Styela clava: one gene and its partner. The protein of the gene in region 1 binds, or shares a complex with, the protein of each later gene. Links are inferred from orthologs where the notes say so. Each region holds a gene or a part of one and is shown on either strand. Other genes may lie near its edges.

What was found.
Region 2: putative RNA-binding protein 15B (region 1) and N(6)-adenosine-methyltransferase non-catalytic subunit METTL14-like share a complex: the UniProt entries of both Drosophila melanogaster proteins name them as parts of the WMM complex. The link is inferred for Styela clava from reciprocal best matches to the Drosophila melanogaster genes nito and Mettl14.

The regions. Positions count from the first base shown.
Region 1 is NC_135258.1:21,862,167-21,878,479, forward strand, and holds putative RNA-binding protein 15B, read left to right. Parts: upstream 1-9,325; 5' UTR 9,326-9,460; coding exon 9,461-9,558; intron 9,559-11,775; coding exon 11,776-13,846; 3' UTR 13,847-14,251; downstream 14,252-16,313. UniProt on the Drosophila melanogaster protein: RNA-binding protein that acts as an associated component of the WMM complex, a complex that mediates N6-methyladenosine (m6A) methylation of mRNAs. M6a modification plays a role in the efficiency of mRNA splicing and is required for sex determination.
Region 2 is NC_135261.1:19,293,326-19,310,668, reverse strand, and holds N(6)-adenosine-methyltransferase non-catalytic subunit METTL14-like, read right to left. Parts: upstream 6,202-17,343; 5' UTR 6,129-6,201; coding exon 6,063-6,128; intron 5,641-6,062; coding exon 5,497-5,640; intron 5,220-5,496; coding exon 5,060-5,219; intron 4,792-5,059; coding exon 4,656-4,791; intron 4,256-4,655; coding exon 4,156-4,255; intron 3,772-4,155; coding exon 3,565-3,771; intron 3,043-3,564; coding exon 2,964-3,042; intron 2,516-2,963; coding exon 2,404-2,515; intron 2,182-2,403; coding exon 2,057-2,181; intron 1,599-2,056; coding exon 1,195-1,598; 3' UTR 158-1,194; downstream 1-157. Other genes in the region: periodic tryptophan protein 2 homolog, read right to left, coding at 6,733-9,431, 10,742-10,769. UniProt on the Drosophila melanogaster protein: Non-catalytic component of the WMM complex, a complex that mediates N6-methyladenosine (m6A) methylation of mRNAs, a modification that plays a role in the efficiency of mRNA splicing and is required for sex determination.

The DNA of each region.
Region 1 (16,313 bases):
AATCGTAAAACAAGATATTTTGAACTTGGTCAAGCAGTCTTGGCTCGTGACTATTCTAGCAAAAAGAGAAGATGGGTCAGTGGCACAATTATTAAACATCTTGGACCACTGACATACCTTGTCAAAATTTCTAATGGTGTAACTTGGAAACGCCATATCGATCAGCTGCTGAAAGCTGAAAATGACGAACTTTGTCGAAGATATGAAGAACCGGAATGGTACAACTGGAACCGGTCAAGCACATCGGCAGATGACCATCCATCCTGTCCAGCCACAGGGTAATCAGGGAGCACAGCAACATCCTATACCCAGGCGAAATCCTCTCAGAAACGGGAGGCCTGACAGATTAAATTTATAGTGATATTGATAATGAACATTGAATTGAGGGTTCATTGTAAATGTGTTAATTTAGTGACATTGTTCATTTCTTCCTAAGGGGAGAGGGGTGTTGTGTATTTACGTCATAGCTTGTTGTTTTTAACACAGACTAGATTTGTGATTATAATGTCATAATTGTTTTCTCGTAATTGCTCTTTGCTTTTGCCTGTCTGCGTGCTTGTTATTCATTCTTGTGTTTGAACTGTCTAGCGTTAAGCTGTGTTATACTGACGTCTTACTTTGCCGTATAATAAACTGTAATATTTCTGTCTACTGGTGATTTGGTAATACCCATGACATCACAAGATCTCTCCAGACAAAAAATTTAATTAAAAAGTAGTAGTTTAATTTATCTTTCAAAACTTTCTGGATCATATCAAAAAGTAAATATATCGGAAATATCTGTATTATTTTAGCCGATACATGGCCGATACCAAAAAAATGGCCGATATTGCCGATACATCGGTACATCTCTAACTTAAACAAGGCCAATCAATAGAAAAAGAATCTTGTGAATCTAGTCTACAAAACAAAGCGTGCAATGATGATCATCGTATGAATAGTAACATTTTACTTTGCCTAAATCTTTGGTGGTAGAGTATGATAGATGAAATCACAAAACAACTGATCCCACTGATAGTTCAGAGCAATTTAGAAGTAAATTAATTGAGCAAAAATAGCAATATAATCAAATAACAAAGATATGATGGACCATTTAGTTGATCAACATTAGCATGTAAATAACCAAATATAAATGACATGGAAAAGAAGTGCTATTCGATTGACCAACAATAGCACTTTTAACAATTGAATGGCGAAGACATGAAAACGGTATAGTAGTTGAAACCCCCGCAGTATGTGAACCAGGTTAGGGCTAGGCCCAAACCCCATTCAGACTTTTGTTATCTTAGTTCCATCACGAGCTTGGGACTGTCCATGTCAGCCAAGCGAAAACATCCCCTGCAAACAGGTCTCGGTCCCCCTCACAACTCGATGCAAAGCAGGCGAACAGAGTCAGTTACCCGCCCATTGGTACACATACTTCTCGACCGTTCATTAATTAACCAAAATTACATAGCAATATCATAAACATCAAATATATGAAATAAGCATCATTCAATTGATTGACAATAGCAATGAAAGTAATTAAATTAACACAGGTAATGGTAAAAAAGGACCTTGACACAAATCTACAACAATGTAGAGCAGAAAATTGTGTGTATTGAAAAGAAATATTACAATTACAAGTGATTTGAGTTATGGGAGTGGAACTTATCCATTATACATCACAACTACAGATAGGAGTACAGTCAGGAATGACTGAAAGGCAGGTTAAAAGTAATAGGAATTGCTTATTCAGTCATTTGGCTTTAGTATCAAGGAGATTCAACATTATTCAAATATGGTAGATGCAACTACAAGACATATAATGAAAATTGAACAAATAAAGCAACTTTGTTCCACAAGAATCTTAAGAAATATAATAATAGATACAATAAATAATATATTTCATCTGCCAACAAAAACACGCAAGATCACAAAATAGAAAGCTGGGGAACATTGCTTGTGATATTGAAACAAGTCGGCTTACTGAGGAATTGCACTTGATTTGCAAAGTGGCACTTAATGAATAAAATGCTTGCAAACTAGTCACTGATTGCGTGTTATACCTCTTTGACATCATAAGAGTTTCAATGTTTAAAAAACTCTTTGCATCAACTTATGTTTACCTTACATTAGCACCCGTTTACTGCACCTAAGACATTTGCACCCATTGACGTTTTCACCCGCATATTGATTGTTCCCCCGGAAATTTACTCTAATAGGCATTTGAACTATGGTAAATATTTCGGTGAGATGCAATTTGTAATTCGTGTACCTTTTTGAATATTTTTGTTCGGAATCTAATTGCAGAATTGTAAATATCAATTCTGATATTTATTCGATATATTTTTTTGAAAACTCTCTAGCGGCAATAAGGTACAAAAGCCTTTTATAATAGTAGAAACATGAAGTCAATATTGGCAGTAAAATATTTACAGAATACTATAAAGTGCTTCAAAACTTGTTTTAAAAATTTCCAGAATTGCATGATAATGTTGTTTTTAGCAGACTGAATTTGCCCAAAATGACTAAATGGTTTAAACCAAACAGATATTGTGCTGTTTCGGTGTTGATAAATTAATTACGCATAATTCTTTTTCATAGTTTTAACAAAACAAAAATTAGGTTGTATACAATATTATATTCAGGTCATTATTTCTACTTCATTTCAATGCGACCGCAGTCGAACAATTGCTATAACAATCTTCTTCCAACTTTCCTTGTCCTCCATCTCACTGGCAAGATTCTCCCGTGGTATCCCCGTGTCCTGTTTAAGTTGATCAATGTATGTATGTACGACGCTGTCTACCCACGTCGCTGTCTTCTTTTCCCATATTTTGGTTTCCATAGGATCAGTTCATGTACGATTTCTTTCTTGTTTCTATAGCAGTGGCCACTGAATCTAAGGCGTCTCTCCTTTATTATAGTTGTGATTCTTGGTAATTTACCGTATAGTGTTTGTTTGGAATTTTGTCCTGCCATGTTACTCTTTTACCTACTCTTAGCATTTTCGTGTATGCGCCGTCCAGCTTCTTGCTTGCTGCCATTGTGGGAGTCCGCGTTTCTGATCCATATAGGAGAACAGTTTTTGCTGCAGCTCTGAAAAACTTTATCTTTAGTTCTTCCTTCAATCTCGATTTCCAAATTTTTTCTAGTTTGGACAGTGCTGACCAGGCTATTTCAATTCTGGTATTTATATCCTTTGAGCAGGTGTTTACCCATCCTCCAAAATATCGAAAGTCCTCCACTTGGTTCAGCACATCTCCACCTACCGTTTTCAATTCTACATTGTCCTGATTGAAAAGCATGTATTCCGTTTTGGAGCTGTTGATGTGTAGTCCTATTTGCCTTGCTGCTTGTTTCAGTCCCGTTAGTAGTATTTGCGCTTGGTTTAGGTTTTTTGTCATTAATGCCGAGTCATCTGCAAAATCAGCATCGCAAATTACTTTTGCTGGGTGTCGCCTGCTCCTAGCTCTATCGAGAATAAATCCCAGGTTTCGTTCCTCTTCAGTTGTTTGCTTCATGACATAGTCTAAACTCTAAAGCGATTATAAAGAGATATGGCGCCAAGGTGTCTCCTTGTAGTACTCCAGCTAGTATTTCAAAAAACTCAGTGTTGCCGTCCGGAGATATGACTTAAGCTGTATTGTGCATGTATAGCATGTTAATAGCGGTGACTATTTTGGGAGGGATCCCGTACGCCGCCAGTATCTCCATTAGCTTTCTTCAATGTACAGAGTCAAAGGCCTTGCTAAAATCGACAAACGTGAGTATTGCTGGAAGATTCTTATTCTTTATCTCTTTTATAAGTCTTCGTAATGTGAGAACTTGGGCCACTGTTGATCTGTTCTGTCTAAATCCGTTTTGATTAATTCTCAACTTACTATCTACTTGCGGGTATATCCTGTTCAGAAACATTCTGTTGTAGAACTTTGCAGTGACTGCTGATAAAATTATTCCTCTGTAGTTTGTTGTTTTTCCTAGGTCTCCTTTCTTTTGGACTGGTAGAATTGCACCTGTTCTCCATATAGTAGGTAGGCTACAGCTACATCACCATTGTATGCTTCATTACAGACTTCAAGTAGCTTGTCTTTCAGACAGTCCATCTTCCATACTTCTGCTGATATCCCATCTAGACCTGTCTATAGGTAGAATATCGTAAACTTTCTTGATTGGTTTGTCATCTATTGTCGGTGGTTGTCCTAGCAGATTTTGGAAACGTTCCATCCACAGCTCGATTTGCTCTTCTGATTTTTTTGCTTTGATCTTGTTTATATTTGTTCGTTTCCTGCCAGTAATTTCGTTGATGATGTTCCAAGTTAGTCTTGCTTTGCCCGTGTCGTTTGTATTTTCCAACTCCCTAGTTTTTTCTCCAATATACTTTTCTTGTTCGCTCGTGTATGCATTGTCGAGATCTGCTTTTGCTTTTTCCAGGACTCGCTTGGTGTTGAGCGTGGTATCATTACTATTTTTAAATGCTTGATGTAGCGCTTCAGGTCATTATACAAAAATCTAAGTTTGGCCTTTCTAGTTTTTCAAAATTTATTATTTAATATTCTCGTAAAATTTATTGAAAATTACTCAACAAGGTCGTCTTTGGGCTGAATATATATTTTACTTGCAAACTGAGAAACATAAATCACAGTCATGGATATGAAAGCAACGTTTCTACAATATTTGAGATCATATATTCCAAACAAGCCTCTGTATAACTATAAATAAGTGACTCTTCAGTGGACCACTTATATCCATAAGTTTATTTCAACTCCATAATCAGCATAACAGCAATAAAATGATTGATAAAACAGACAAATAAAAACTGATTATGAAATCAGGAGAGCAAACAAAAACATTAGACCGCGTTCAAAACGTACAGAATATAAGATGGAAGCAGAGGCGTGCCAAACTTTTCTGCTGCCTGGGGCGAGTTTCTGACTATGACGCCCCTTATCCCTAACTCAAATAATATTTTGGGGGTTAAACAGATTATATATGTTGTTATACATGAGAATAAATAAATTAAAGGTCAAGTAAGAGAAAAACGTTTGTTTTATTGAATAAATCATCAAACTGAGCAATAAACTCGCTCGTATAAAATGGAACTCATTAACAAAATGGAAGTCACTTATTTCTATGTCCAGTGGCTACTTTGCTGTCAACAAATGTCTGAACGACAGCCTCCTCCACCTCGCTTGTCAAGAATTTCTTTCGATGCTAATCAGATCTAAACTTGAAAGGCGCTAATTTGGCATTCAACTTTGAGAAAGATCGTTTGCAACTAGCTATTAATTTTTTAATTTCGAGTAATAAACAACATGCAATGCAAAAAGTTGGAAAAAGTAGACGTTTTCGCATCCAGATTTTCTGCCATGGTTGTAAACTATACCTCATTTTCGCGTTTTTGCATGTTATTTTTTAGTTTTTGGTAATGTTTCAGAAATTATTAAATAGTTTAAGTACTCGTGTAGCCACCTTTACAATGAGCACCAAAAATGTTGCAATTGTAAAAGATAGGAAGAATTTTTCTGGGGTCAACTCATCATCACCACAGTCAGCCAAACAATACTAAACACTAGGGATGGGACGACTCCGGGATTCGACGAGTCCGAGTAATAGGTCATGGACTCGAATCCTCCGAGTCCGTGACGTCACAACATAAAGAGAGAAAAACACGTTTTTGACCATGCTAAAGCATCGTGCGCTCACAAACATAGTCTAGAGATGTACCGATACCACTTTTGTCGCCGATACCGATCCGATACCAGCTAAAAACGCCGATACCGATACGTCGATACTACAAAAGGGCCGATATTACCGATACCGATACTATGTAATTATTACTTAATTAGGTGTGCTGAGTAGGGCAGACGGGTTAAAACAATAGTCTTTGAGCGTTGTTCATAGTACACATTATTTCAGATCGAAAAAAAAAAGATATATCACATAATATGAAATTAATGTTTAGTATCCATATGCTTTAACTGATTAAGATACATTGTACAGTAACGCTAGTAATCTCGGTGTTCAATTAGAAAACTCATAAGCCGGGATGTCCAATTTGAATTTAATGTTAATATCGCGACCTTCGAATATCGTTATTCGTGTTTAAACGAATATCGAATATCGCCCACACATTCTAGCGCCGCCGTTCTACGTTCAAATTAAAAGTATTTTATAAATGTTTTATTTAGTGGCTAATCGTAATCGTCAACGCCAACATGAAAGAATAACAAACAGCACCGACAAAAAGAAGGCCCACCTATAACCGTCGAGGATATTTTTTTACTTTACTAATTTTATAATATTTTACAATTTCTTTATTTTGAGACAGTCTAGGGCTAGGCGGTCATGTCAATATATCTATAAAGAAATTGTGTAGTTAAACAGAATTAAAATTAATACCTGTGTAGTGGGATAATTGTGTCGGAATTTAGTTTATCGATGTCGACGGACTAAATGACACTCGTACTTGACGACAAACAGTCAGAATTTATACCCGTGCCAAAAGTCCATGTGCCGTTAATAAGGACCCCAATTCCACTGTATGATTTAAAACTGGGCGCCTAGTTTTTGTTATGTGCTGTGTTGATATATTTCTTCATAAAAACTATGTAATATTAAAAATGTCAATATGAAAATTTGACAGCGAAAATAGCCAAATTAGTTGAGCTAGTTTGGCTGATAAATAGCTAAAACACGTGAATCCTATTCTCTCGCGGGGGTAGGGACATGTATGGCTCATAGCTCACGATCTCTCCAGACAAAAAATAAATTAAAAAGTAGTATTCCAACTTATCTTTTAAAACACTCTGGACCATATCAAAAAGGTGAATATATCGGAAATATCGGTCTTAATCTAACCGATACCGATACATGGCCGATACCAAAAAAATTACCGATATTGCCGATACCGATACATCGGTACATCTCTAAAACATACATCGTAGCCAATATTCCCTCTAATTTTTTGTATTATGTGTGCGCAGAAATTTTGGTGTGTGCGCACTTTTTTGGAAATGACTAATATTTGTGCAAAAACCAATGAAGAAATTTTGACGTTCTAACCGGGTAATAAGTGGGCCAACAACAAACTTTCTCAACCTGCCAACCGAGAACATTGTTACATTACATCGATTTACGTCTGTGCGCAGTAAATCTATGCGTGTGCGCGGCCCCTGAAAGCTGTGTGCGCGCGCACACTTTAGAGGGGACACTGATCGTAGCTCATATTTTTTGCCTAAAGGTTTCGTAAATAGCTGTTGAACCATTTTAGAACCACATTTTTCCTTTTTTTTTGCGGTCTTAATACAAACGTAAACGTGGGTCAATGTGCGCCTTGGCTGTGAACTGGATTTCCAGCCCACCACCTTGCGTCAATTCTGGGCGGCTATTCAGAAATTCTTACATGTCAATATGAAAAAATAAAAAGCTTTTGAGTTTTGACTACAATGCTTTCCCATAATTTCAGATATTTCTAGCCGTAAATTTACCATGTCACGTGCACAAATGGTAGAGAAATGCCACTCGTCGTCAATACAATGTGGTACATCTGCTTGCAATTTAGTAGTTCATGTAAACGTTCTAAGCTTCCATGCTTTTCATTGCTCCCTTTTTAGAGAAAGGATTGCATGTAATAAACTCGATTTAAAAGAGGTATTGATGAGATTCCCCATTGGGTTGATCCAGAGTATGTTTCAATTTTACGCGAATCACAAATATTGCGCTAACACATATTTTATTGTGTACCACATGTATACGAAAAAGGATAGATAGTTTGAAGGCGCCTGGCGCAACATCATTGTTATAATCGGTCAATAGTTTTAAACTTGTGTTATATTTTCTGGATATTTGTCGTCGTTTTTTATTAGAAGTGTTTATAATGCACACGGGCGATATTGATACAGATCTGACCTTGAATTTTACCTAGTTAATAAACAATGTTCTGCATTAGCAGTGTTCACAGTACGATTGCAGATGCAGTAAAATTCCGGACATTTGGGCATTTTTTTTATATTCTTTCAGGACGCAAAATTTAATCCTAAATTCCGGATGGTATGGCAACCCTAAGCTAGATTGCGGCGGGTACGTTGATGTACTCCACAGTTTTATTTAGCAATCGGTCGCAAACTGTTGGTCTAGTTTTTCCGGGTTTTAGTTTATTGATAAGAAGTCTTCTTCGAGATTAAAATAAGCGACGGTAAATCTCGCTTTCGTTTACGACGGGAATTTTATTTGCGGCGGAACGAGGGAGTGTTTTTGAAATTTATGCAAATTTCGGTGTTTTTTGGGTGGTAATAGAAGACATATTATCCCTTCCATCTACCAAAGTATTTTGAGTTAGATCACGAAATTGCTACAGCAATATTATGCTATTGTTTGCTAACCACGAAGTGGTAACAGTAAAGGATTTAGCGAATATTTCTATTTTTTTTATCACGGTTTGAAGTTTCAACTCCCAAGAAAAAAAAGCCTTTTTTCTATCCGGTTTGTGACTCAGACCACCACTTTTGAAAAAACTTTTTTTTTTGCTAATTGCAAGCTCTTTAAATAAGCTTTCCAACGAGCCGTCAGTGGGCAGCAGAGGATCATTAGTTTTTCGTTAGTCGATCGATTAGTTGTGGGGGTACAAATTCATAAAATCGGCGTAGCAAATACGATTATTTAATAAAAAATAAAAATCGCATAGAAAGGGTTAAGGTATGTAAGATTCGTCGAGGCAAAATTACAAATAAACGCGTAAATTAATAAAAACAGAATTGATTATAGACTCAGTAAAAATGACGTGGACTCGAAATCGGATCCGAGTCAAAAAAATGCCTGGATTTAACTCGAATCCGAGTCCGGATCCGAATCCTGGCCTATCCCTACTAAACACATAATGTCAGCTTTCAACGCAAACTCTACAGCTTGGTTCTGCTGCCCCCTACAACGTGCTGCCCGGAGCGGTTGCCCCCTTCGCCCCCCTCTAAGCACGCCATTGGATAGAAGGTTTTTCAATTAGAATTGGTACCATTGAGGGTATATACACCTCAATGATTGGTACATGTTCACCAACGACTAACGACAACGACGTGTTCACTCACCTAAAATATTTGAATTATTAATGCGATAAATTACATACTGATAGTAAACAAAAAATAAATAAAAATTAGTTACCGATATATTTAGTTTTTGTTTCATGATTTGTTTATTTTATTGTATATGATAATATTCATTCATGCAATTCATTATTTTTGTGACCAGTAAATTGTGACTTTTCAATGTACAATATGCGAATTTTGGGATTTAGGGTATTACTCTACTGTTGATTTCAATCCTTTATCTGGCAACCATAAATAAGTGACTTCAGTGGATCTCAAAGTGACATTCGCTTGCTTCCGGGCGTGGTTACGTTGTCTTCTACACGCGCTCTTGAAATTACTTTGTTGGTCATACCTTTATAGAGTTTGCTTAAATATTGCTTGACGTGGCTCTAACAATGAAGCGACAGGGTGAAAAAGACAGTCCTTCCAGAAATAAACGCTCGAAAGTACGAAATGGTAGTCCAACCCGCCGAACTTACAGCCGGCACAGCAGGTTCGAATATTATTGCTGAATTATGGCTTTCAGCTTCTTTTTTGTTATCATTAATGTTTTCCATATCAAGCGTCTGAGCGTTGCTATTGATGCAAACCAGAATGTTCAGATGTTGGTTCTGTAGAATATTGTATACCGGTACATTACCACACTGCTTGGTCAGTTGGTACCGGTACGGTACCGTACCGGTATCAGTCTTTTGACTGATTGATTATTGTCCCCAGGCTGCCAAGACTGCAGGGTAAATACTGAAATGAGCGAGATAGATGTGAAAATCATATCCTAATTGTCTGGGTGAAGTTTAGGCATCGCTGACTTCAGGTTTCATATTACGGTACTTGAATAAATCTTGTTTTTATTGGCCCATTCCTTATCTATTTCATTATTTGCTTGTCATTAACTGTAATCATATAAATATAATAAATATTTCGGTTAGATGCTATTCCTAATTGGTCCTTTGGCCTCTCGCATTTGGGTACGTTTTTGAATATTTTTTTCGGAATCTAATTGCAGAATTGTAGTCTAAATATTGAATCTGATATTTTTTTCTAAAATCCTGAAATCTCTTGCGGCAATACGGTACAAAAGTCAAATATTTCCAGAATATTATAAAGTGGTTCAAAATGTATTTCAAGAATTTGCAGAATTCCATGATAATGTTGTTTTTGGCAGACTGAATTTGCCCAAAATGACTAAATTGTTTGAACCAAATAGATATTGTGCTGTTTTGATGTGATGAATTAATCACGCTTGACTAATTTTCATAATTTTAACCAGACAAGAATTAGGTAGTATACAATATTATATTTGGCTCATAATATCCAAGGAGTCAAAACAAAAATCTAAGTTTGGTCTTCCTGGTTTTTCAAAATGTATTATTTAGTATTCTCTAAAATTTATTGAAAATTACTCAACAAGGTTGTCCTTTGGGGCTGAAATTGAAATATATATGGTAGTTCAATGACTAAGAAACATCATTCGCAGTCATAGATATGATATGAAAGCAACCAACTTACAAATATAGAAAATTGAGGAATTTGACTGAATCGATTTGGTATTGGTAGGAATGGTGTAATTTTATATTTAGGTTTTCAATTTTTATATATCAAAACTAGATAGGCTACATGGCCAACATACCCCCCAATATGAGAAAATCAATAGTTGAAGCAGATACGATTTTTAAGCTTTTTAAAAGTAATTCATTATCCAGAACGGTATTGTTGGTATCATTTTATCTATACGTCACCACGAATAAAGATTTTTTATTACAGTAAAAATTTCGAATTTTTGGGATTAATGAATTCTTTTACACTTATTTATTCAATAATATAACAAAACATGCTCATATAGCATCATGTCTATTGATGCTTCTAAGTCCTATAGCGATCACAATTACAAACAATATACCCATTATATGTTATGATCGATACAGCTTTTGCTTTTTCTAGATTAATGAATTTGTTCATCACATATAAAGTGATGCATATTCAAATGACAGAACTTGTTTTTCTTGTATACGTCCCTTTGGAGATATTTATATTTAGCAAAAAGTGAATGTTGTGTAAGAAGATTTGTTTTGCTACCAAAGAGTCATCAGCAATGTGTATACTTCTATTGTGTATTCTGCACTACGCTGAAAGTACTCTACACTTCATACTCAAAGCGCATAAGTGATATATTTACTGACCAATCAAAGTCACTGGGAATTATCTCTGCTTAAATTTGTTTAATATGCTCAACGAGCTGGAATATTGAATAAAAAAGGTTTATATCTGTTTACTGTGAGCAGTTGTTATGCTGCACAGTGCTCTTTTATCTGGAAAAAAGGTTTATGAACACCTTAATTCTAAGCAAATGGAGTATTGAAATTATACTTCCCTGTTTTGCTGTGGAAACGGGTTTTCTGCAGTGTGTGCGCTTATGATTGAGATAAAGGTTTATGAACACCTTACTATGCAATATGATAAATGTGAAAGTTTGAAAAATGTATTCACTGGTAACAAATTATTGCACCTTAGTATGCAATATGATAACTGTGGAAGTTTGAAAAATGTATTCGTTGGTAACAAATTTGAGACGATGTAAAAATGCATAAACACCTAATAAAAACCATTACCTAGCTCGTAACACTGAGATATTGAGAAAGGTGTCTTTCTGTGAAGTTACTGGCTGAATAATAGGTTAGGTTTATGAAACATTGTATCTTATCTCTTATAGCCCGCATCACAGAGATGATCGGAATGTTGGGAGGAGAAATTCGGCTTATGGGAAGAGCGAAGATTCATATTCACCTTCGCAGAGATTTACACCACCACCTCATCGTGATGATAGAAGACGAGAAGGAAGAGAACCGAGTCGAGGAAGTTACAAAGTCTTGTTGGTGAAGAATTTCAGCTCACAGATATCTGATGTCGACATAGAAGAAAGTCTATATTACGAATACAAAAAATTTGGAGATGTTTCTGTCAAGGTTTCTACAGACAACAGAGGAGATCGTGTGGCTTATGCAACATTCAGATCATCTGGTAGTGCAAATGATGCAAAGAATGCTAAAGGACATTTGGTGATGTATGACAGACGACTTACTGTTGAAGCGGTGTATGAGAGACGAGAAAAAAAGACAAGGACTCTTTCACCATTGCCGGTTCCTGACACTAGAGAACGTGAACCAAACTATCGCAAAAGATCACCCTCTTTTCAGTATGATGCAGCACCATCACCTAGAAGGCGATCTCTGTCTCCGGCTTCTGAAGGAAAAAGTTACAGTGTCCACAACAGTCCTACCAATACAGAACCAACCGAACCAAACATCCTTCCTGAGGATGACCCTTATGCCACTAGGACACTTTTTTTGGGAAATTTAGAGGCTGACATTGGCAGCGGTGAGATAAGACGCTGTTTTGAAGTTTATGGCAGAGTCGAAGATATAGACATAAAACGATCCCAAAGAGGTGTAGCGTATGCGTTTGTACGATTTTCCAATTTGGATATGGCATACAAGGCAAAAGTAGCCATGCAAGGGAAACCAATTTTGAAATTTCCAGTAAAAATTGGATATGGAAAAGTCTTCCATTCATCAAAGTTATGGGTTGGTGGTCTTGGACATTGGACATCATTAAGTGTTTTAGAACGAGAGTTTGACAGATTTGGTGCAATACGCAAAATTGACTATGAAAAAGGGACTAGCTATGCTTATATTCTTTATGAAAGCATTGATGCAGCGCAAGCAGCATGCAGCCAAATGCGTGGTTGTACTTTACATGGTTCTGACATTCGTCTGAGAATTGATTTTGCGGATCCTGACCCTGGAATGCCAGGATATGAAGCATGGTTAGGAAGAAAAAATTACAGTGATCGTGACTATCATGATAGAGGTGGTCATTCGAGAGATAAAAGGCATTTTGATAGAAATGATGATCGTGGGAACTTTTATCGAAAAGAACGCCCAAGGGAAAGATTTCATAATGACAGGGGTCGACCTTACGATCGGGGTAACAAGGGTAATAGAGGGCAAGACGGTGGGCGGAGATCACCTGAGAGGTATAACAAACGTTCAAACTCCGACAAAAAGTCCTCACCCAATCGCGCCTCAGTTGTAGTCAGTGAAACTAAGAACAAAGGCCCACATGAGTTTGAGCGTCGGTATATTCCTGCGCAGAGTGAAGATGCTGAGCTCAATTTTAAACATGATCAAATGAAGATTGCAACAGATCTTCATGCATTATGCCAAATACTTAACCCGCCTTGCTGGGATGGTGCCTTTGTATTGAAGAAAACTGCTTTTGCTGTGAGATTTTTCCTACTTGATGGTGATGTTGGACTTATTAACAACATGATCACAACAATAACAGCTCAAGGACTACCTGCAAGAATTTCTTTTCTACACATCACTCAAAGACTAAGACAAGACGAAGATAAACTTCGTGATGTAAGTCGAAGACTAAAAGATCCCGACAGTAAAACTTGTTTGCTTTTGGCAGTACCTGGTATGCCTACAAACGTTAGTAAAGCAGACAGTGGTTCTGTTTTCACACAACAAAGGCCTTTGCGTGGCTTAGTGAAGTACTTCAAAGATAAGGATGCTGCCGGGGTTGTTGCATTCCATGGACCGAATCCACAGCCTGATGCTAAAAAAGATAAAGTTACATTGGGGATGCTGCATGCTTTCCCACCTGGGCAATTTGCAAACGATCATTTGTTTTCTTTGGCACCTTGCCTCAATCCATCCTTAATTATTGAAGAATACATGGTGATTGTTGTAGCTAGAGGTTCATCTGCTTCGTCATGATCAATGCCAACATATCAGTTTAGTACATTGCTACTATGACGATTGCATGTTTGTGTGAAAGGGAATATTGTTGGGTTGTTTTCATTTATAATCAACCAAGATTCAATTTTACAATTCCTGTGTACTAGTTTATTATTCTGAATCCAAATTCTTTTCGTTCATAATAACAAGATAAAATTACAATATTCAATAAATTTTTCAGAAATTTTCCTCAAATAAATTCATTAAAATTTCTAATTGTAATCGCATGTGTTACATAAATGAACTTGCATGAATGTTTTTAATAATTTGGTTATATCTTATGCCAGACAGATGCTACCTTGTTTGTTTGCCTTGTTCATCATATATTTTTTCAAATCAAGACTAGCTCCAGAGAATTGTGGTTAAATAAAAATTTTGAAACTAGTTTTCACATTAATATACTTTTGTGCGTGGAGAAAGCTGTGTCGAGCCTGCCGACATTTATGATTTTCAATTGTGGATTTTGGCATGAGGGAAAAAATCTCTTCATTAGCATTTCGTAGGGCAATAATAGAGGAATATCTTGGGCTTCATCTGACTCAAAAACATGTTCAGTTAAGCTGAACGAAAATTCTGGTCATTGTGTACTAGGTTTAGTGACTAGTATCAAACATTGATATTATTTGTTTATGGGAAGATCTAGTGGTCTCCGTGGTAAAGACAATTTGGCACCCGTTACGAATGTTGAAGACACACCTAACCGTGCATGATTCAAAAAAAAACTTGAACATTTGTTTTTCTGGTAGATACAGTCTCAAACTTTTTTCAATGCCCCAAATATTGAAGTCATCGAGTGGATCTCCAATTTCATTCAAACAAACTACTATTAAGTACAATAGTTCTGAACGGATCGGCCTCGATAGTTGATCAATAAGTGCTTATAGGATATGGCAACCAACTGATTCGAAATCAAGCATGTTTGTTTCGGCCATCTGCGGCTATTTAATTTACAACAGCTTCTACATTTATTTGCTTAATACTCGTTTCCGTGAATATCAATCAATTGAAAACAAAAGTATAAAGTATTTTTACAAAGTTGGTTCATGCGTATAAATGTACTTGGATGTTATCTTTTCAGTTCGTCTATTCTAGGGGTTTTCAACCTTTTTTCCCGTCAAGTACCCCCCGAGTCACGAAACAATGAACGCGAATCCCCGGTAATCAGACCCTGAACAAAGTTGTCATATACTGATATATTGACTAGCAATTTGTTGCAACACCAATTTATTGACCATATGTAACTAAATTGAATCGTCTTTTTGATATTATTGCCCTTTTCGACTGCCTAACTAATGGATTCTTAAAATTTCTCCCAAGTTTCAATAAGCATAACTCTCTAATGCTCTCAGCACGCTGTCTTTAGAAATTTTACAGTTTGTACGCAAAGCTTTGAATTTAACATTGTTGCATCACAATCACAACAACGCAAGATCAGGTAAAATCTACGTTTCAATTGGCGTCTAGTTTCATTGGGCACGCATTTTCCCATGGTATCAATAAAGGATATTAAGAAACAGCAACATACAAAAACTCGACTGTCATCCGAGTACCCCTAGAAATCTTCTTGTGAACCCCTGGGGGTTGGCGAAACCCAGGTTGAGAACCCCTGGTCTATTCAATAGATTTTTTTATACTCCAGATCGTAACATAAATATCCAAAGTGAAACGCGAGAGATTTAAGTGTACCAATTTCGGAAAACGGTGTCATGAATGCAACGAAATTCATTTCGATCGCGAAATTCCCGATCAAATTGATTCGCCCGGACGTCCGCTAATACATAATCTGTCATTTCTGTACAATTTAATTGTTTTATAAGCTACGAACCAATTTAACTTTACTTATGAAGAGTTGAAATAAATGTCATAGATTAGTGATCTCTATTTTGGGCTAGCTAGACCATACACCCGATGCATGACAAACTTTTGATGGATGATAAATGGGTTAAAAAAAAATTTCACTTTAAAAAGAATGTGCGTCATCGATACAATCAATACATACATCAACGAGAAACCTGCTATTTGTCTTAGTTCAGAGCCGAGGCAATTGTAATTTTCGATTTTATGAAAGTCTTGTCTAGGCTTGCACGTAATTGACAAAAATCAATTCCGTAATTACGGCCAAATCGATTACGTAATGACCCCGTAATTGCGATATTTTTTTCACACATTTAAACCTATCATAACAACCAATTTAATCCACTTTTATTCCGAATGGGATATCGAAGTTTGGTTTTCATATTCCCGGCAGTACTACACGCCGGCGACAGATGTTAAAGACAAATATCAAGGAGTGAATTCAAAATAATTTTATTCTGATTTTTATCTTTTGTATTAGCTTTGATTTTTTTTTATCCACTTTATCACCAAATTTTATGCGATCAATTTTATCATTACCAACACTGGTAATATATTTAAGAAACGATAGTTCACTTTTTTAAAATCGTAT
Region 2 (17,343 bases), on another chromosome or scaffold:
GTTGAAAAGCTGGATTGGTCGTCTTGTACAAGAGCGTTTTTACTTGTAATTACTGTGACGTTTCCAGTTGGTTTTGAGGAATTTGCCGGTTTTGTGTAAAGCTGGGCGATTTTTGCTGCCCCAACCAGGGGTCTCAAACTCAAAATATGTCGCGGGCCACTCTTTGAAATTTATTGACGATGTGGGCCGCAAACTAACAAATTATATACAAAATTGTTACACAAAAATCAAAAAAGTAAATCTGAATATGTTTGTTGAAATTACCCTTGAATATTACACTAAGCGAGACATGAAATATATTCGTTTACTTGTGTTGGTTATTTGGCACCGTTTTGTAGCGGTGAGAGACTCGATGTTTAGCCTTATTTTGCGTTGGTTTGATGGACTTTAGACAGCATACAAACTTTCTTCCGTTAGTCGTGTGCGAAAGGATGATTTGTTAACTCTCATTGTTAAAAAATTATTTCACACGCCTTCAACATACACTCTTTAATAAAACTTCCCTCAACGAAAGGACGCCACGATTTCGCAATAAACTCACTTATGGCTAGGGATGGCGGATTCGATTCCAGAATCGATTCCGGTGCATTGGAATCGATTCTTAGGGTCAAAACTTGGAGTGCAAACAAGGAAAACTATACGCATCATGTGTAAGTAAATATCGAAAAAAGCACTTTGTGAAACTTAGGGAGTGTAATCGCATTGTTTTCTGTACGTGAAAAAAAACTTCTAATATTTCGAAGTAAAGCGTCCAAATAGCCAGTGCTATAGTTACATAAAGATTCTTTTCGTTGTTTTCAATCAAGTTGCGACACAACTTGTCTGATTGTGTGGCAATATATACATATACATGCTACTACCATACCATCAATTATGAAGCAACCGCATATAACGATGGAGCACAAGAAGTAAAAGCAACACAACTAAACGAAAAGAATGAATTTCAGTTAGACATGGCCATTGAAATCACACCAGAAAGACTTTATTCACTGTTGCCACAAAAGAATTTCTTAAGATTACCAGAAATCCTATAATTCGCCAATGTTTTTCACATGGTATATAAATGCATCAAAAACGTTTAATTTTAAAAATATGCTTGCTTTCAAAACATTCAATGGCTTCATTGCTCCGATTCCATCCTATTCTATTCAGACAAAGGATATAAACATTTAGGACAAAACACATCTCTTGATACTATCTCCTACTAAAATTGCCACGGCCAGAGTTATGAAAACCTCTTGGATTGGTATCTCTCTGTGTCATGAGATTTCGTTTTCTCATTTTATTAGGTGGATAAGTTTGTCTGTTACCATCGACCCCTAAACCGGAATCTCGAAATGGTGGACTTTGTCCTAGGCCAATTGATGAAGGGTTTAGTCCAGGAAGGTCAGACCCAAAATTTCTGCCAATTGATGGCAGCAGAGTTCCAGTTGAGTGATGTGACCCATCCAAATGACTGGACCTCTGACCATGTAATTCACCCCTTCGACCTCCACCACGTGATCCGCGGCCACCAGGGCCATGATGTGCTCCTCTCTCCCCCTTATCACGAGGTGGAGGGGTCTTTGGCCGTAGTCTCTCAATTTCTTCGGTACAACCTAAATAGAATGAAAAACTGAAAACGAAAATCTTTTTAAAACTAACTTGATGCTGTAAATCTTGAATGTTGCCAAAAATTAAGCCACCGTTCAATCAGGTAAAATTACCTAAGTTACATCTGCAAATTTGTTCCAAAATGCATCAATTTTAAAAATACTAATTTTTTTGTATACAACACAATTATGTCTTTTGCCTCGAACAAGGTTCTCCACAAGCTGCCACTTCCAGCTGAGGAGCTACTTATAGGAAGGACTGGATCATTTGCTTCGGTTTTGCCCACCCAATTCAATAAAGCCTTGGTGAGATGTGCATGGGATTCGAATCCAGGATTTTAACCTGTGATGACAACACAGTAGGTCTATCTAACACTTAGATCACTGGGCCACCACCTCCAGCGGAATACCTAAATATACAGACCCGACATCTGTACACCCACAAATCAAAACAAAGAAATCACCTGTGAAACAACCATGTGGATGGTCTTCCGTTACTTTGAAATAATTACGATAAGTTTCCGCATTGAAATTGCTATTGGTCAAACCAGGTCCCACTGTTAACCAACCAGGACGAATTGAAGAATCTCTGGGATATCAATATAAGAGTATTTTAATACCATCTTTGAGATGATTAGAAAATTAACTAATAATACCAAAGAATTTAATATTCGAAAACAAGAATATTGTGAAATATTCTTAAAATTTTAGGATTAAATCAAATTGCGAATTTTTTTGAAGAACTTTATCTGGGTAACATTAAAGCAGCTGTTTCATATTGATGTCAGATTATCTAAAGTTTTAGGCTCACATTCCAAATAAATGCAATCTTCTTCTACTGAGACAGAAATGTTCAATGAGATGAAATATTTCTTCCGGTTTTTCTTCATTTCCCAACTCCTGTTCTTCATCAATTATCAAGTCTAAATTTGGAAAAATGGTAATTTGTATTATCCTTGTCAAAACTATGTTACAAAGTAGAATGCCTCACAATATGCTGTCACACGATAGATTTTTCATACTACATGGAGACTAAAACACATCTGTCCACACAGACAAAATATAATTATTTAAGATTTACGAGTTTCATCACAGAACTGATTCTACAAGAGGTATCCATATAAGAATATTCATCGACACAATTGCTAAATGTTTATGTAATAATAAGGAGCACAGTGTAACAATCGGGATCATTATGACGTTATTTTGATTGATATTTTCAACAAAAATTTATATTCATTAAAACTATAGTCGTAATTTCAGCAGACACAAGTGGGCTGGATTTAGCTGTAATTTGGCACATGATGTGGCAACGAAAATTACTTCCCAAAACACAGTATCAACAACTTGAATTAGATACTAAGTACTAACCAATATCAACATTAGCATGTATGAAGTCTCCATCAATACTTCGTCTTACTGTTCCTTTGATCCCCATCAAACAATGTTCCTATGTTCCATGAAAATTAATGAGATAATATCACTAATGATTATTATTTTGTAATAAACAATATGAACAAACAAGAATATATCATGTTCACTACACAGATTTAAATCTACAATGATTAGGAAAGTATATTTGGAAGACAAATTTAAAGAAGAATTTATGTTGAAGATTCTCTATTGACAACCAACTTTAGGGTAGGGTAGGATTTACAAATTTATCCCGGGGGGAGAGAAAAAACGATAAGACGGCTCAACCATATGGCATGGACTTGATGGTGGAGGAAGCCGTCACCGACTAACGGCTACATGAACCACCCTACGGCAGCAAGGAGTCTAGCAATTTTTTCGCACATAACCATCACTGCGTGGGATTCGAACCTGCGAACCCACACCGAGTAATCATAGATGCGGTGGCGAAATTATTCCTAACGCTTAGCACAATGAGCCACACCGCCGCGCCAGCGTTTCGGATTTCAGGACTCTACTTTTTATGTACAGAATATTAAAAAAGAATTATCACAGGTACCTTCGAACGGCAGAACAGAGCACCTTGTTCAACATTCCTTGGAACTCTTTTTTTGAAATTGATTTTGATCCAACAAATATCTTCACAACGACGAAATCCCCATTTTTTCAAGCATTGCCTACCATGATCAAGACCATCAGATGAACCACACCAAAGGAATACAAAAGACCTTGGGGCGGCCACTTCTTCTATTTCCATTGCCATTATCTGTATTTAGGAATGTCATCAAACTATTGGTCAAATTTTGAATTTACAAAAGCTATATTCAGGAATTTTAATACTTGAATGTTGAAACACAATAAAACTCGAGACCATTGGTATGAACTTTCATTTACATATTATGATTTGAAAACAACAGAATAATATAATAACAAAGTTTTACTAAACAGCTCTCCTAATATTTACTTGGTTGTTATGATGACATTTAATATCATGGGATTGCTGTCTTATTCAATATTTTCAAATCATTGTAAAATTTGGAACGATAATTATTATGCGATTTGAAAACAGCACAGAGCTCTGGTGTCACTCACTCTTGTTGAGTGAGTAGGAGTGAAGTTAATGCCTAAAATATATCGATAACAAACATACATCTTCCCATGAGAAAGCCTTCCCCATATCTGAAGACATTCCAGCTTGTTTTCTATATTCTTCTAGCGGAGGTTGAATAAGGATAACTTCAAATTTTGTGCTGCAAGTAAGAATTTGTTTTAGTAAATTATTTTTATCTTACTCTTAATAATGGGGCAATGAGAATTATAAAATCAATTATGCACAGGATAAAATGGTTCAAGATATTCGAAACCCACTTGAACTGTGAGTTCGTTAAGCAAAAAAAGGTTGAGTAATCTGTATCAACCAGCTAATTTGTTGTAGATTCAAGGAATTAAATGATGAAGGTGTAACAGATCAGCGGATATAAGAACCATCGTGTATGGGCAAGAAATCCAGCAATCTTTTTATATGTCTTTGACTTTTATGAGATATAAATAAACTTGCGAACCGACACAAGTAATCAGCCATGCGATGTCAACCTATGTTTTTCATGCTTTGTGCGTTATTGCCAAACTTATAACTTATTTTGTACACACCCTAATTCACGAAGATCAAAATTTTCCAAGTCGCAGCGGAGATACATTGGTGGAGTGTTTGTTTTCCGTATCAATTCATCTTTCAAAAAATTCAAATCTTTCAATTTAGGATATTCCTCGAAACGATCAGCCAGACCTGTAAAATTCCAAGTTCACTTGTTCTGCAAATAATGCCCCAATAATACGATGCTGGTATATAACCCCTGTAGTAGACCCGTAGTACGTGAACCATGATGGTGGACACCGGAACGTAGTATGTGTACCAAGTTAGGGTTAGGCCATGATTTCAGGTACAAATACTACTCAGTTAGTTCCAGACATTTTTATCTAAAATGATCTGGTACAGAATTTTTATTCTCACAATTGCATTGCTTGTTGCCTGCCTATGTTACAGGTCTACTCACCAACATCTCTGATATAGTTTTGAGGTCTCTGTCCAGTATCAACAAAATTCTGGCAATAATCATTATGAGGATTCAGACTTTGTGTTCCCTTTAGAAATGTACTGGAATCCTTGAAAACTTCTTCAGATTCTTTCTCTTTATCCAGGCTTTTGGAACGAGACTAAAAAGTTTTAAAGAGCGCGAAGTTAGCAATAAAAACATATTTAATAATTATCAAATGGGATTACAAGATATATAAATATCATTAGATAGAAAAAAACATCTACTTTTAATTTTAAAAACTTATTTATTGATACTTTATTGCAACTAATTCCATCCCATCTTGTAAAGACTTATTTCATGATTTGGTTTGGTAAATAAGTTGGAAGAAAACCAATTTGCAATCCCAAACATGGGCATTCCTGTATTCACAACATCCAAGCAAGTAAAAACCTTACGACATCATCTTTTGACTGCTTTTTTGTCAGAACATGAGATTTTGTAGATGATTCTTCTCTGGATTTTATTTCGATTTTTTTCTCCTCTTGTTCAACTTTACTGCTTAGCACGGTGTGAAGTTTATCAGCACTGTTGACACCCAACTGGAATATTTTAACAAGGATTTAACAGTGTTGAAAATTTTTTAACAATCGGTGAAATTTTTTTGTGCTGTATTCACCAGACTTTTTTGACACTTTGAAAATAATCTTATACCTACGCTCATCATGGTCGTCTAATATTTTTAAGAAATACATCACAAAAAGTGAATGACTACATTAACCCTACATATTAAATGTGATTTTACAGCCGAAACCTTCGAGTATAGGCAATTTTTGGATTGCCTATACAACTTCAATTGCCTCGCCCTCAAATAGTATTTTCCAACCCAAAAATGTCCAAATTTAAAAATTTTCATATACTGTTTAATGAATTGCAGATTTGAATTGCTCTTACTTGTGTAACAAGCGCGGCATTTCTATAGTATGGCTATGACCTTTTTATTCCAAAAATGAAACATAAATACCTGTTTTGCAAGAAGTTGTCTTCTGCGTTTCTGTTTTTCACGAATATGTTGGAGTTTATCACTCATTTTAGAGAATAAGAAAATGCAATAAAACTTCTCTGCAATTTTTTAAATAGCAACAGTATTTGGCTGAAAAAAGAAAATACTCGAGAATCATATCAAATCGTTTATTGAAAATCCTGGCAGTGGTATTCGTTCAAAAACTAATCAAATAGCAGTATGACATTCATAGTTTCACTGAAATCATTACAGACATGGAAAAACGATAAATACATGCATAGCCAAATAGGCATATGGAATGCAAAAATTGACAAATTTCTAAATCCAAAGATGTTGATTTGTTATTCCATGTTTAATATTGTGCAACTTAATAAACTGATAATAAAATATTTTGGGAACCACCAATGATTCAATTATAATATTGTTTATATATTCAAGAAATACCAATAGCCTATAATGATAAATCGAATAGTACGCCATAACAAGTCGCAAAAATGAAATTTTGTGGAAAGGACAGAGCCAAAGTATATCAACAGAAAAATGTGCCAAATGTATCAGATATATCTTGAAAATAAACACTTCTCCAAAATTGATCATTTTTTGAAGCCATTATAATGCTATACAGACAATACAGTACAATATGACCTTTTTTAACGCTCGAGTAAAGGATTTAAGAGAGTGAAAGTCCTGAATCTTCGGACACATCGTCCATTATTTCATCTTCAATATCTGATTCTTCTTCACTGATCTTTTTGCGTTTTGAACCGAAGTACTTAGACATTGCAATTATATATTGTATTTGGTAACTATTTTTTTCACAGACTGAACCCAAGCCTTCTTTTTTGATGGTCAACTTTTTAAGAATACCCATAATTGTACCCAATACTTTATTTTGTCTTTGCTTCAACTGTGTAGCATGATGCAAAAATATATATTTTGTCCATAGAATATAAAAATGGAAATGACATGATTTGTCAAGCTGAGTGCTTATGAATTCCAACAATTTCTCCACATATTTTTGTCTTAGCCCACTGACTATCATCTCGATTGCTGCTATGGGAGTACTCTCAATTGCTTCACATATCAATTGAACTTCATTGAGTCTCAAAGCCACCACAATAGCCTCTGCATATTCATCCTTTTCTATTTTTTGACGAATCAATTCTGGGGTGATGGAAATCTCCAGGTCGAAAGGATCAAAGACGAAGTTGTTGTCCAACGAATAAATGACAAGACCCTCCGTTGTAACAGCTGCCCAGTCACGGCCAGCAGGAGAGAATTTTACTCCTGAGACACGAACTTCCGGCTTGAATGACCTGCTGCACATGTCACCTTTTTGAACACCAGGAAGTTTTATCAGTTTTTCATTGCTTTCATCGGTGTCTATTAGAGCTAAAGGTCCAAATTCAGTCATTTTTCTTTTGTCAAGAAATTCCTCCATACCGTCGAATGATAAGTTTTGTGATACAGTAAATTTCTTCACAAGTAATCCTTCTTTAACATTATATATACCAATACTTGCAAACTTTCCTCCTGCAATAACACACTGTCCATCAGAAATATAAGAAATACAATCATATGCTTTTCCTTGTGATTTAGATTTTGCAGATATTCGGTCATTTTCGTTCCTACCAATAATGATATCATATTTGCACTCAATTGAACCCATCTGCTTGGCAGTTTGGACATCCCAGAATGTAATTTCAGCATTTAGAGTTGACACTGCAATTTCAGATCCATCTGGTTTAAAAGCAATTGCCAGCACATCTTGGTTGAGAGTTATGGTTTCTCGAGCACTTTTGGTCTCCAAAACACTCCATAATTTCACAGTTCCATCCCACGATCCACTTGCAAGAAGTGCTTCAGCAGAGGAGAAGCATAAAGAGACAACAGGGCCCTCGTGTCCTGCTAAAACATCTAGAAGACGGCCAGTTTGCATTGACCAAAGAAAAATATTGAAATTATCGTTGGACCCTGCACATATCAAGTCTGCACTATAATCAACAGCTAAGCTCACAAATTGAACTGGGTGAGGAGATGTGAAAGTACGAAAATTTCTATATCTGTGCATATCGAACGCCCTAACAGTTCCATCAAGAGAAGCAGACACAATGACATGTCCGTTCCTCGTAAACTGAACTCCAGTCACACTTGAAGTATGTTCTGTGAAAGTAACGAAACAAAATCCAGTCAGTGTATTCCATACTTTAACTTTGCTATCTTCCCCACCTGATACAATGTATCGTCCATCAGGAGAATAATCGAGACATCTCATATTATTAAAATGACCATGTTGTTTCAGCACATACGTTTCACTGTGCCACTCCCAAACAAGCAATTGCCCTGAACTTGAGCATGCAAGGGAGAGCCAATCACCACTTTGGTTGAAGCAAGCTGTTGAAATTCTTTGTTCCGAAATATTTAAAGAATGAATCCAATTGAACCCGGGAAGTTCATGCAAAGAAAATGAACCGGATGAAAATCCAGTGGCTAAAACATGATTTTTCTTGTGATAAGCCACACATGTTACCTCATTATAATTGCCTTCTTTATTGAAAAAATATTTTGACACTCTATGATAATTTAAAAGTTCTGTTTTTATTTCACTTTCTTCTTCATCAACACCAGGATTTAATATTTTTAAAGCACGACGATCTTTCCTATTCAATCCTTTTTTGCCTAGATTTTCCAAGTCTATGTTCGACTCCCAAACATTTAAAGCACCATCTTTGCTAATAGTATATATATCAAGTGAATTTGATTCGAAAAAGCAACCCACAATCTCATCTTTGTGCCCTCCCAGTGAAAATAATAAAGGATTACCCGGGATTGTAGTATAAATACGCGTGTTCATATCTTTCGAACCAGCTGCAAAAGTAGTGGAATCATCTGTCCAATCAAATGTTGTGATGGTGTCATAAGCACCATGATATGTTCGATATAAAGTGAAAGGATTAATTTCTCGTGTTTTACCAGGGGCATGATATAGTAAAATTAATTTCTCCATAGCAACAGCAAATTTTGTTCCAGCAGGATCAAATTTTATACATGTGACAGGTTTACGAAAAGTGAATCGATGGATAACAGTTTGACTTAAAAGACTCACAAGGGATGCATTTCCATTTTCATCAATTACAATTACCAACCTTCCATCAGGAGAGAAAGCAACACATGCAATATTGTACTTAGTTGTGAAAGATAGTGTTTCAGACGAGTTTTCTTTTAAATTGAATAGTGAAATTCGATTTCCTACAGGACTTGCTAATATGTCCTTCCTTGGTAAAAATTCAACATTTCCTTTTTTGTAAATGGTTCCCAGAAGATTAGAAAACTTATAGGTGTACTTCATGATTTTGATTGAGCTCTCTTCTAGAAATGCAAAAGAATCTTTAGATATTAGATTATTTTAAATTTTTAATAATGTACACTGAAACTCAAGTGCAGTTTTGAGTATTCTGTGGCGTCTGCAGCTGCCGCAAAACCATGGCCGTATTTCCATACCATGGCTGAATTTTCAGCTGTCACAAACCAATGACGAGCTGCCGTTACTGTGGCAGCAAATTGAAAACCAATGGCAGGTAAAATTTTGCTGCCGTAACCACGGCAGGTGGGCCGTAAAGACAGGGCTATCCCTTATTATGACAGACAGGTACGCCATATTATCTGCTTTCCTCAGACGATTTAACGTTACCGTACCTCAGTACCCAAGCAAAAAAATCGCCGCTGAAGAATTCATGAGTTTTCAGAAAGAACTGTCGGCAGGAGACAGTCACATGTGGGAGTGAATATAAGTGAAAGAAAACGTACTAACGAAATGATCTTTGGACATGTACCGTATTGTATGAATAATCACGGCAGAGAATAAGAAATAACCGCAAAAAACAGCATTCACAGTATGCAAAACAGAAAACCAGAGGTTCAAGTTTGGCAGCACACTACTGCACTATAATTTTTAAAATTAGAGTGTTCGTTCAATCAAACCGAATATCGAAACATCTTGAAATCCCATGCGGGAATAGTTAGGCTATGTCGGGATAAATATGTAAATTCTATCCGGGTCTCATGTAGTTTCGTACCTACTCCTAGAGGGTGTAGCATAACAATTTTTTCATGTATCAATCCTAACCCCCACCTGACTACCCCATCCAAAAATTACGTCACTACGACGTCACAGTGACATAATAGAGCCCTTCAAGGTATACAAACTGTCACCCAAGACGCGCAGACGATAACCCGAAATCGAACAGCTATTTTTCTCGTTTTCTCGTCGCAACGATCCCGATAGGGGAGAGATCGCTGACGTTAGTTAGCAATTATCGTCGGCGCTGATGCCATTTCGGGCGATCGTAGGTGTATTTGGAAAGTTCTATGACGTGTTGTGACGTGTAGTGACGTCATTTTTGAATGATGTAGTCAGGTGGGGGTTAGGATTGACATGTCAAAAAATTAGTATGCGAGAGGATTGCTGAACTCATTGCCGCCGCAGCGCAGCAGGGTGATTCACGTAACCGCTGGTCGGTGACGGCTTCCTCCACCATCATGTCCATGCTTCCGAAAAAAGACTATCAATGACCAATAACTTACTAACTACTATTAATTTTTTACTAATAATTATTACTAATAATAAAAGACTGATAGATAAACAGTATTTTTTCTTTCTATAACTGTATTGAGCTCACCTTTGACTCGTTTGGCCGATAGTTTCATCCAGCGTGCAAACCGAATGGTTTTCGCGAGAACAAACCTTTTCGGTATTGTATTTTTGCGAGAACAAACTTTAGAGATTAATGTCAATGAGTTGTTTTGTGAGAACTGACTTCTATTTCAAATTTGACGACAGAAATCAGATTTTTCATAAATGGTTCAATGGCTAGAGTTAGAGAAATAGACAACAGCATTATTAATTTAGGATTAAATTAGAATTACTACTGAATTTATTCATTAAATTAAACTACATCTTTCATAAAAATTGCTGCAAAATAACTTTCCCGCCAAAAGTATATTTATGCAAAACTGCACTTCCGTAAAGTTTGTTGCTATAAAGTTGACTCCCTTTTTTACATGTCGCGAATTTCATTTTTGAGCTGTGTTTTAAAAATAAGCATTGTTTATTTAATCATACCATCATTAGAGCGTCTGTCTGGGTTTAATAAGTGTGAATGAAACTTTGCATCAGGCATATGCCGTGGCCCATGACTTCGATGGTTAAAGGGAATGATGTAGATGGGGGATTGTGTATAAATTTTTCGCACCGCAGACAAAGTTATTTTTTTGCATATCTGCATTCTGGCCAACGCCCGTTTTTTAAAACCCTCTTCATCGCAAAATTGTATTCTTGAACAAATTCTCTTTCACCAAAGTCTATTCTTGGAAAACTTACAAATTACATTTACACAATATATTTTTGCAAATTTGGATCTTCGCACTCTCAAGTTTGTTACCGTTATTTCATTCTCAAATTCATTTCGCAAACGAGAATTACCCAACACAAGACTGCTAACAAAATAACATGTATTTTTTATGACACTAGACAGAAGAATTCAGTTATTTATTGGCGTGGTGGCCGCGATGAAAACAAATTTCCCATAATCCCATACCCTACATGGACTGGTATCTGAACGAGAGACCAAGGTTAGCTATATCATTGAGCATCTTATCAGCTTTTTATCCATCGGGATAAATATGTAAATCCTATCCTATCATAAGGCTTAGCAAGATATTCCAGTCACTAGTAATGCAAATTTACTGATGAGATGGACCATCAGCGGAATGCTCAGTTTGCTAAGTAGAAACATTTTTTCCGTTTTATACAAAGATGTCATGATTCAAAATCCTCATCAACTAAAATGATTAAATATTTTATACCGTTGAGTCAATGAAAGAAATTGCCATGCAAGAGTACAACTTTGTGATTTTTAAAGTCCATCGTGAGTTTGTGGAAGAACATTAAATATCCGGAAAAGTATACGCAGAGAAAGTATAGTTTGTAAATCGAATTCTGGTGTATCAATTCGGTGTTAAGTATTTGTTTCCATAAACAACTCGTATTTGGTTTAGTATAATCATGAATCAATTTCGCCGTTTTCGCTTTGTTCCTCAATCACCTTATTCTCAAGGGTAAGCGTCAGCATCAATGTGCTTGGATTCATCCCGCATTTATAACATAATAAAAGTGTTTTACTCTCAAAAATGAGTAAACATGACTGACGGGGATGCCCAGTTCGAATTCAATATTCGAATATAACGACCATCGAATATTGTTTGAAGTGTTTATAAAAATATCGAATATGTATGTATGTTTGTATATATGATTTTTTCGCTATTTTGCGTACGCTATTATAGACACTATACTCCATTATTACGCTATTATAGTTCGAGTCGGCGTCCTGTCACGTCGGCTGTGATTTATTGCAGCAGCGCCAAGGACTATTACGATAACATATGAGGCAAGAGAGCAACGCTCAAATCTATGAACACGTGGACCAGAGCGAATCAGTTCTTACCTTTGACGTTACCGGTACCGTACACTCAAAAACTTCTGAGTTTCCAGTCGCAAGAATTTTTACAGTCAGCCGTCACGCTTGACGGATTCAGAACCGTGTTTCCATAATTATAAAGTAATACAGCGCAATTTTGCATGAAATATTAGATCTCATAAGTATCATAGAAAATTTAGGAATAAATAAAAGTAATAGAGTAAAACCAATCTTCAACTACTGAAAATTCCAAAGCAATTGGTCCAGTATTCGAAAAAAAAGCGACTTTATCATGACGAAAAAGAAGAGTATCAACAAAAACAACAACATAATATCAAAACGATCCATAGGTCCACCCACGTGTCCAATAATTATAAAATACTTTCAAACAAAAGGTGGACAACGGCAAAAAAAAAATAAGCGAGATATTCGATACCCCAATTCGTCAATGATCATCGATAGCTACATCCTACATAAACAAGAGAGCAATGCTCAAATATATGGACACGTCATTTTCCGGGAGAACTCGTATAATCACGCGAGACAGATTTCGTCGCGAGAGAATAACGCTCGTCCCTGATTAATAAATTATAAATCCGAAGTACAAAAATTGACGCACGGAACCGAAGAGACGGAAACCGAGTCCTAGGTATTCAAATCCTCCGGATTCGGTATTTTATATCGCCCATACTTGGGAGTATCTGAATTCTCACTTTTGTGCCATAATCCCGGTATAAACCTTTAATTACCATCCAATAAATGCAATCACAGAATAACAGAATTACTCTGCCCCTACTCCACTTTGATAACTTATGGTACCGACGCAGAGATGATTGGCAGATGCCACGACCCCCTACTTTATTCTAATGCGTCAGTATATCTTTTCAATTATTTCAACCAACAAAACCATTACAAATATGCAAATAAATTCAAACGGAAATCCTCTACCGTGGGCTTCAAAATATAGCAAACTGATGACGTAGTAACGCATCACTCCTGCGTAGCGAACCGACCGTGAGCGAACTATATTCAGTAAACTATGGTTTTATGTCATAATGTGAGCATTTAACTTGTAGACTAGGCGCGAATGAATATATCATGGCATTATATTACGTCTACCTCATAATTATTTTATGTAATTCCTAATATTTCTGTCACTACTTTCACTCAGCATTACGGTACCGGTACCGATACTTACCTTACGACCAAAGTTATCCTCTGTGATAATAATTCGCCTCGATGGTAACCGCTTGTAACAGAACACGAGAAATCCTCATGCGGTGCATAGTTTTGCAATCAATATTTGGGTTGTGTATTTGATGATAAATGTACTAACTTATATCTTATATTCATGTAAAGTGTGAATATTATTTGGTCTGCACGAAATGCATTCATTGCGAAGTGCTTATGAAAAAAAAAAATTCTATCAATAGCCGTTTCATAGTTTTTGTACGCGTTTTCAACGCACTAATTATATGAGCTATCAGCTGTTGCGGAAAATTATGATTTATTAGATTGCGAATTCTCATATATCTGTCCATCCACCTTGAATTGTAGATTTTTTATTTATCGTAATGTTCATATAGCTTGTAGGCAACCTTACATCAGGGTATATATTGTATGCTTAAGGAAAAAATTGGCAGTATCTCCACGTCAACCAAATGGCTGTATTTGTGGATTGAGTTGGCTGTATATGCATGGGACCTTGGCAGTATATGTCTATTTGGTTGGCTGCGTATGAGTTGCCGTTATATGCATATTTCTGGCTGTATATATATATGGCAAGTTACGACCCCTATCGAAGGAATTTGTAAATCTTTGCGGTGCTGTCATTCATTAATACCTCATCGTCTCTGTATCCGTCTCAAAAATCATTTATGCACCGCCGTACATACATTTTCTTCAACTATTCTTTTACTTAGTTGGTGTTACATTGACAAACTAAAACAAATCTCGTTTGATACCTTATATAGAGCGTAATTTGTTGCCATGATTGGATGCGTCGAAAAAATGTATATGTAAACGCAGTTGGTTGACTTACGACATTGTTTATCCCACTCGAATGCTTTTTATGCGCATAAATTCTCTGACTGGGTAAGTTTATTTCAATGCATCCCATATTGTGTGTTTAATATCGCACTACTTCCTATAGGAGATAATTTAGATTGTATGCTTCGTTAGAGATATATTTGCTGAAGCGCATGTCAATAGCAAACACGATATTTACCACACACATACCATATCTATCAGACATGGGCAAAGTACGGCCCGCGGGCCAAATCCGGCCCATTGGGTAATTCGATCTGGCCCGCCTGATGCTGCCACAACCAAACTGAAATCAAATTGTGATGTTTCAGCTAAAATAGATCAAGGAATTTGTTGACATTGCGGTTAAATTTAGTTTGGCACGAGGCTCATTGTCTTTCAAATATTTTCTCATTAGAAAACGGGATTCCTCAAGGGATCGTAATCAGTCCACTGCTTTTCAATATAATGATAAGCGATATGCCTAATACTATACACTCGAAAATATAAAAACTAAAGAAATGGCGCTTCAAAAGAATGTGTACCAATATGGTGGTAAATAATTTTGTTCGCCTATATTACATCAAGATGTGTAAAGGGACTAAAACCTATGGACAGTGGGTATATTTACTTGGCTAACACAGACAGTCTCCGAACTCGTAATAGAACTAAAATAAAGAAAATCGGGATAATTATGTAACAAATTCACCAATAATTTTGGAAATAATGACATCAAATCTAAAAATAATTTCAACGTCATAAAATATTGAAGATTATTCTAGAACAGGGGTCACCAAACTTTTTTGACCGCGGGCCGGGTATGACTCAAATTGTGTTGAAACGGGCCGGATGAATATTTTTGTCAATGCAATACAATAAATTCACAAAAGTTGGGAATATCGCAGAATATAGATCGAGAACAACCCAGGAAAAAAAAATTAACAAGATTTCTATATCTAGACAACTATCCTGAGTTTAGCTGTTATCAAAACGTTGCTTTCATGAATTAGAAATGTTACAAAATCCGCGGCAAAAAATGTACGCATCACGTCTACCGTTACGCCGTGTTGAAATACCGCTCATAAAAACGACTGCCTGCTGTAGCTTGGAATTCTATGAAATTTTGACATGATTTAGATAAAATAAACAACTATTATCTGGTATTTGAATTTTTTCATTAGCGCATAAATTTCCCAACATTCGACGCTTTTAAATATTACGCTCCAGTTATACGTAGTGCAAATTAATGATATTGTCTACGGACACCAATAAAATTTATATCGACGTGTGTATTTCTTGTCTAACTTGATACTTACCAATTTTTATGAAGTTCGTACAATCAGAACATCGTTAATTATTACCCACATTGAGCCACTGTCAAACTATCATGCACAACTCCAGCGTTTATTTGCGACGATCTTTCGGCGGTGTCAATGACCGTTGCCAGAATAAAATTCTGAAATAGTCTCAATATACCATAGATGTGACGCACATCGAAAGATTAGTGATTGATATGTGTTATTTTTTCATATTTAGTTCAGTTCTTATCAAAAAAGTAATACAATCATTATGGAAAAAATTGGCTGTCGGGCGGTACTAAAATTCCGATATCTCCGTTATTTCTTGACCGTTTATTCCAAACTTGGTATTGTTTTCTATTTTTACTCAGATCTTTCCACTGGAGCAGTTTTTATTTAAATCGGATGAACTTCAATTTTTTTGTAACATACCTACATGAATATCCGCATTAAAGCAGTACAAAGTTAGTGTGGCTTTTGAAATTGGAGCAGTACGCGAGGGATTACAGTACTGTTAGCACAAAATGCACATTCGATGTTTATTTTAGCACGAAAAACAAACAGTTTCGTCGAAAGCAAGCGCCACGAGTGTACAAGTGTATCGCAGAAAACGTTACGTACTGGTAGCGTTCAAAGTCGCAAAAACGAAGTTTTGTTTACAACCACGACTGAAAATCTGTCAGAGTGACAAAAGTGTCTGAGCAGATGCGGAAAGGCCTATTATTACGTCACTTTTCTGCATCTTGCCGATCGGCCAATGTTACGAAATAAACAAGGACGACGATGCTCGTAAAATCTTCCTTGGAAAAAAATTTAGCCATTTTTGCGTGTTATTGCGGACCGGATAAAATGACGCCGCGGGCCGGATAAAATGACGTCGCGGGCCGGATCCGGCCCGCGGGCCGTAGTTTGGTGACCCCTGTTCTAGAACGTTCTAATATAATATTTCGACACATAGCCGTATGCAAAAGTGAATAATTCTCATATGATATGATGAATCACCCCCGTTTTACATGGATTTCTCTAGAATCATCGAGAAAAGACTGTTTGAATTGTGATATACTTTAAAATGCGATCTCAAACGAACAAGAGATCATTCATTAGGTACAATTAATCTGATAATCTCTACTAGTCAACTATCAATACGAGAATATCGGTCGGAGACCGAAGACTTATCGATCGAAGGTTAGGGGATTCCCCAAAACAGCGCTCTTACTCCATAGTGACACCGTGTGTCCTATCACTAATTAATTAATAACTCGCTAATTATACGGCATAATTCATCGAAAATCAATAGGCTTCTGATCCGAGCTATGATGAATGCACATGAAATTTGGAGCAGATTCAACCTTGCTTTCGTGAGATATCGCGTGCATCTAACAGACAGACAAACAAACAGAGAAATACCTATCAACATACTTACCGATCTTAAGATCGATAAGTAACAATAATAAGTTAGAATTGTGAGTTGGTTTATTTGAT